2 linked regions of the Macaca fascicularis genome follow. The protein of the gene in region 2 interacts with the protein of the main gene of each other region in a biochemical or structural test. Links are inferred from orthologs where the notes say so. Each region holds a gene or a part of one and is shown on either strand. Other genes may lie near its edges.

Region 1 (2,945 bases), on a different chromosome or scaffold from region 2:
ACCTCGCCTGGCTAGTTTTTTTGTATTTTTTAGTAGAGACGGGGTTTCACCGTGTTAGCCGGGATCGTCTCTCGATCTCCTGGCCTTGTGATCCGCCCGTCTCGGCCTCCCAAAGTGCTGGGATTACAGGCTTGAGCCACCGCGCCCGGCCTATTTGTTTGTTTTTTGAAACAGGGTATGCCACCACACATGGCTAATTGTTGTATTTTTGGTTAGAAATGGGGTCTCACTGTGTTGTGCAGGTTAGTCTTGAACTCCTGGGCTCAAGCAATTCTTACCCTCCTTGGCCTCCTAAAGTGCTGGGATGATAGACGTGTGCCACTGTGCCTGGCTGAGAAACAGTTTTAATCTACTGACAAACACTGGTGAAGCCCTCCTCCCTGTCTGACTTTCCAGGGGCTGAGTTATCAGAAAGTTGTTTGCAGAGCAGGGCAGGCCAAGGGGTGTCAGGCTGGCCCCATCCCAGGCTGGGTGCTGCTCCTCCTGGGCAGCGTCCATCTTTAGCTCTGAGCAGTCAGGGCTGGTCAGGAACTCAGCATCTCAGACAGGCTGTGTGGCCCTCGCTGCCCCAGGGGCGAGACTGGCGCCTTCCTCCACCACCCTGCCCCTCACTGCCACCTGAGAACACTTGGATGCGTGTTCTGTGTTCATGGCCACATCCTCTGGGGGCTTTTGTTACACCTCTCAGGTGACGCATTCCGTGACTCACCAGTTAGATGACTCCCTTGTGTCCTTGTCTGCTGAAACACCACCTGGGACTGGCTGTCCGTGCCCGTTGGCCCTGGTGGCCTCCCTGTGGCTGTGGTTACCCTGCATTCTTGCTGAGTTTTGGGAGGCACTCAGGTCCCCCCACTTACCTTTGGAGCCAACTCATGGCTGCTCCTGTGAGCACAAGCTGGTGTCCCCCTTCGTGGTGGAGACTGAGGCTCAGAAAAGTTCGCTCTCCAAAAAGGTGCCCTGCCATCGGCCGCTGTGGGCAGGCTGGGCTCTGGGCCCATCCTGGCTGGTGCATCTGTGCTCCAAGCAGACACCGGGGCTCTGGCTGGGTCTCCTGGCCTAGGTGTTTCGTAGGCTCCTGTGTGCCGGGAGCCTAGAGTGAGTGGGTCAGGCAATGTCCCCTGCCGAGGTTTCCTTCAAGGCTCCTTGGGAGCCAGAGGCGTGGCAGGTCCGCCCATGGCCTCAGGGTTCATTGTGCAGGAGGAGTTGAGGCCATCTGGGCCTGGGCCCCATTGCTTTGAGATGTATGAGACAAATATACCCTTCCCTCTACAAACGAGGGGTCACGCCCCAGGCTGGACCACAGATGGGGAAACTGAGGCTCAGTGAGGTGGCTGGCCCCTTGGCACCGTATCATCTGAGATCACCTTGCAGAGCAGTGGGCAGGGGGACTCTGGCAGTGTCGATCCCACCCCACTTCTGAGGAGGTGACCTTGTGTGGTCCTGCCCAAGGTGGGGGTGACGGGCAGGCATGGGGGCTGGAGTGGCTGACCCTGCCTGCCTGTGTCTGCCTGTGTCTCCAGGACAGTGGCTACCCGGAGACACTGGTCAACCTCATTGTCCTGTCCCAGCACCTGGGCAAACCCCCTGAGGTAAGTGGCCCCCAGGGCTCCAGGCCAACCCTAATATCCCGACCCTGGGACCCCATCCTGGGATCCAGGCCCTAATCCCTAGGCTTCTGGGAAAGCTCTGCACACAGTGTGCCCACCGCAGCCTGCCTCCCTCACAAACCCTGCGCCCCCTCAACCCATCCTCACCTGGGGCCCTGCCCAACCTGCTCCCCTGAACCCACGGTACATTCCCTACCACGTACAGAGGCCAGCTCCGTGCCAGCGCCTTGTCAGGGGCCGACCCATCCCTCCACCCCCACCCTGAAGGTTCTCTGAGATCAGCCCAGTCCCAAGGCAGGATGAGGAGCCCCCTGGGGTATTGTGGCTCTCACCCCCATCCACCCCGTGCTGCAGGTCAGAGCCACCGTGGGGTCCCCACGTTCGACTCACCTGCCTTCCTGCCTCCCCTGCAGGTGACAAACCGATACCTGTCCCAGCTGAAGGACGCCCACAGGTCCCATCCCTTCATCAAGGAGTACCAGGCCAAGGTGAGTGGCAGGGGTGGCCTGTCCCTGAGAGCCAGGCCAGAGGGCGCCTGGAGCTCAGCCTGGGCTCACATGTGCCCTCTCTCTCTCCCTCCACCCGTCTCCCCACACCCCGCCCCCACCCTGTGTCGCCATGTGTCTTGCTGAAGGAGAACGACTTTGACAGGCTGGTGCTACAGTACGCTCCCAGCGCCTGAGGCTGGCCCAGAGCTGTCAGGACCACGAAGCCAGGACAGAGGCCAGGAGCCCTGCAGCCCTCCCCGCCTGGCACACACCCCACATCCCCTCTGGGGGCAGGAGCCCGCCCCCAGCACTCCCATCTGTGAATAAATATCTCAATGCCAGCGTGTTCCCACCTGAGGATGTGCTCTGGCCACTTTGCTGGGGGGTGTGGGGGCTGACGCTCAGGGAGAGTCCCGGGGCACTGGCCCCCAGGGCTGTTCCCGGAGACCAGGGTCTGTGACGAGCAGCAGCTGTGCAGACCCCCATCCCGCCCCTCACACAGCCACAACCTGCTCCTGCCAAGCCAGAGGCAGCACAGCCCTGTCCCCACACTTCACCCTGGCCCCGAGAGGCCACTGAGCAGCCCAGGTTGGCATCGGGGGAAACTGAGGCACAGAGCGGTCATGCCACTATCATGAGGGGCACCAAGATTCAAAATGAGAACCCCTGAGTGGTCTGGAGGTAGCGGGAGCCAGGGCAGGAAGCACTCAGGCCTCAGCTCATCAAAGCCGGAGGGGCCCTGCGGGGTCAGCATTAACCCCAGGAAACCCTCCTCCAAGGCAGAGCCCTGCTGTGGCCGGGGCCCCGGGGCCAAGCAACCAGCTGCGATGAGAGGCGGCTGCACCATAGG
Region 2 (3,500 bases):
GATATGCTCAAAGAGGAGAGGATGTAGGACTTATCTCTAATCTGATGCTTAACTCCCATTGAAAGAAAGAAGAATGAGGTAATCAGCGTTCTTCCAGCAGCAGCTTATGAGAAGGCAGCACCTGGAGTTTTTGATAAGTCATTTTGTCACTGGTGAGGTGGCTCCTCTTTTGGCAGTCTTCTCCCACAACTATCACCCCTCTTCCTCAGTGGAGGCAGGGAACAATGTAAATGGTTGTGTTCTAGATTCAACAGAACAAAGTGCTTGAATGGCCTAAAAAATTACTCAATTTGGCTGGGCACGGTGGCTCATGCCTGTAATCCTAGCACTTTAAGAGGCTGAGCCAGGCAGATCGCTTGAACTCAGGAGTTGGAGAACAGCCTGGGCAACATGGCAAAACCCCATCTCTACAAAAAAAATACAAAAATTAGCCAGGTGTGGTGACTTGTGCCTGTGGTTCCAGCTACTCGGAAGGCTGAGGTTGGAGGATTGCTTGAGCATGGAAGGCAGAGGTTGCAGTATGCCGAGATCATGCCTCTGTACTCCAGTCTAGGTGACAGAGTGTGACCCTGTCTCAAAAAAAAAAAAATTACTCAATACTCCATTTTTGGTTTTCCCCTAGGATATATCCCCTGGGGCAGCTGGTGGGGCTGAAGATGGTTTCTTTGTGCCCCCAACCAAGGGAACAAGTCCAACTCAGGTAAGCAGGAAGAAACCAGCAGGGATGAGTGGCTAATACTCGATTAGTGTATAACAGGTGTTGGAGAATAGAGAAGAACAAAGTTTCACTTGGCTTGGGTTTTCTTGTTTCTTGTTAGATCTGGTGTAATAACTCTCAGCTTCCAGTTGATCACATCCTGGCAGGCTCTTTCGAAACAGCCATGCGGGTAAGTAACCTTGGCTTTTCCTCTTGAATGTGCCTAGCCCAGGGTCCCAGGGAGATGGTTGACTCATTTTAATCAAGTGAAATTATCCTACCCGCAAGGGCAAAGGTGTATATTTTTCATGAAAACTCTTTGTTAAGTACACTTGACTTTCTGTTATCTGCCTTCCACTTGGCCTAGTAATCTTTTAGGGCAGATCCTTCAGTCATCTTCCACCCATTTATAGCTTGCTTTCTGGCTCACATCAGTGAGATAAGTACCCCTTCCCAAGCAGAGGTCTGTTTTGAACACTAAGCCAGTATTGTTATAACAACAACAATAATGATAACATTGCAATAACCGCTAACGTTTATTTAATGTTCACTATGTGCCAGGCACTATCCTAAACACTTTAATAGGTATTATTAAATGAGGTAGATCTTACAATTAAATGTATTTTACTGATGAGGAAACGTGAACAGAGAAGTTAATTACCTTGCCCAAGGAAAAGTAGCTTTTTATGCAGCAGGGCCAAAATCCTTGTTTCTTTCCTTCTGTTCCAGCTCCTTCATGACCAAGTAGGGGTAATCCAGTTTGGCCCCTACAAGCAACTGTTCCTACAGACATATGCCCGAGGCCGCACAACCTATCAGGCTCTGCCCTGCCTACCCCCCATGTATGGATATCCTAATCGCAACTGGTAAGGCTCTTCGCTCTTTGCTTTCATCTGTTCCAAGTTATGGTCGATATTTCAGATGGTAGCCTCAGTGACATAGTCAGAATTCTTTCAGAGCTAGGGTTTTCCAGTAGAAAAAAAGATCTTTGGCTTGTTACTCTATGGGGTTTGGTTTACATCTGCTGTCTTTGACAGCAGCTACTTTTGACAGGAGACAGGAGGGTAGCTATGAGGATGTTTGCCAGAAAAGGAAATTGGATCCTAGTTGGCTACTGACTATCCCGTCTTCTTCCTACTTTTCCCTTTCCAGGAAGGATGCAGGGCTGAAGAATGGTGTACCAGCTGTGGGCCTGAAGCTTAATGACCTCATCCAACGGTTGCAGCTGTGCTACCAGCTCACCACAGTTGGCAAATTTGAGGAGGCTGTGGAAAAATTCCGTTCCATCCTTCTCAGTGTGCCACTTCTTGTTGTGGACAATAAACAAGAGATTGCAGAGGTAAGAGGGTCTAGCCACTGTCCCAGTTCTGGGCACTCCCACATTCTTGTCTCTGTATCCTGACCACCTGCCTCCTCTACAGGCCCAGCAGCTCATCACCATTTGCCGTGAGTACATTGTGGGTTTGTCCATGGAGATAGAAAGGAAGAAGCTGCCCAAAGAGACTCTAGAACAGCAGAAGCGCATATGTGAGGTAAGATCTATAGGACCCTGAGTACAACAGAGACGTCCTTCCCTTCACCCTTCACTAGGTTTGAATTCTTTTAATTTCAAACCCAGATCTGAGTGGGGACGAAGAGAAATTTAGGCCCTTCATTTCTATGAGGGGAGGATACATTTCTTCACCCTACTTCCTCATCTCACCAGTCCTCCATACCTAGGAGGCAGAAGACCTCTCTGCTTTATAACCCATCCTGTTGTGTTGTGTTGTGTTTTCTGTGCATGTGTAGCAGCTTAGAAATGACCTCTACCAGGTGTAGCATCAACCTGGCATGTGTTCCTCTTTCTGTCCACCAGATGGCAGCCTATTTCACCCACTCAAACCTGCAGCCTGTGCACATGATCCTGGTGCTGCGTACAGCCCTCAATCTCTTCTTCAAGCTCAAGAACTTCAAGACAGCTGCCACCTTTGCTCGGCGCCTACTAGAACTCGGGCCCAAGCCTGAGGTGGCGCAACAGGTAGATGGAGCTCCTTCAGTGACCATAGGGAAGCCAGATCAACTCTTACATGGAGGGAACAGACCAAGGTCCTTGCCTCTGAAACAAAGCAGTAAATAACAACATTCAACAAAAAGAGCCAACAGAATGCTACCTTCTGTTTACTTCCTGACTTGGTGCTTCCTTTTTTCCTGGAAAATTAATAGTTTATTGAGACATGACAATTGTCTAAGAGTGCTGTGCAACCTAGAATAGCTCCACTGCACCTGAAAGTAACCCCAGTCCTGTCCTTAAGCTCCAGATATCCCATCACAACCACCACAAAGCTTCACATACACATCTCATTACTTGTGTCCTCCAAATGCATTCTTTTTGGGTGATGGAAGTCTGTTTTAACCCTTTCTAGGACCTGATCCTGATAATCTCCAGAGTTGGTGGAGGAATGTGGGTCTAGATTATGGAGCCACTTTTGTATTAAGGAGGGGAAAGTTTGATACAATAGGAATGGTGATTGTTAACCCTTCACATACATCCAGTACAGAGGTTGGGACCTCTTTTCACCTAGTACAGTTGTATCTCACATCAACGGAACTACCAAACCATGGTGATGGGATCCTTTTGAGGTGTTGTCTGCAGCTTTCCATCCTCCTAAATAAAATACTCCTTCCTTTTCCTAGACCCGAAAAATCCTGTCTGCCTGTGAGAAGAATCCCGCAGATGCCTATCAGCTCAATTATGACATGCACAACCCCTTTGACATCTGTGCTGCATCATATCGGCCCATCTACCGTGGAAAGCCAGTGGAAA

The links.
Region 1: the proteins of COPA (region 2) and COPE form a complex in vitro, tested with the Homo sapiens proteins (3 studies listed by BioGRID, with this or other methods). The link is inferred for Macaca fascicularis from reciprocal best matches to the Homo sapiens genes COPA and COPE.

The regions. Positions count from the first base shown.
Region 1 is NC_088393.1:19,302,548-19,305,492, reverse strand, and holds the end of COPE (coatomer subunit epsilon), read left to right. Parts: intron 1-1,520; coding exon 1,521-1,589; intron 1,590-2,020; coding exon 2,021-2,095; intron 2,096-2,241; coding exon 2,242-2,289; 3' UTR 2,290-2,445; downstream 2,446-2,945. UniProt on the Homo sapiens protein: The coatomer is a cytosolic protein complex that binds to dilysine motifs and reversibly associates with Golgi non-clathrin-coated vesicles, which further mediate biosynthetic protein transport from the ER, via the Golgi up to the trans Golgi network.
Region 2 is NC_088375.1:100,765,883-100,769,382, forward strand, and holds part of COPA (coatomer subunit alpha), read left to right. Parts: intron 1-622; coding exon 623-700; intron 701-818; coding exon 819-887; intron 888-1,426; coding exon 1,427-1,563; intron 1,564-1,849; coding exon 1,850-2,036; intron 2,037-2,118; coding exon 2,119-2,229; intron 2,230-2,552; coding exon 2,553-2,714; intron 2,715-3,370; coding exon 3,371-3,500. UniProt on the Homo sapiens protein: The coatomer is a cytosolic protein complex that binds to dilysine motifs and reversibly associates with Golgi non-clathrin-coated vesicles, which further mediate biosynthetic protein transport from the ER, via the Golgi up to the trans Golgi network.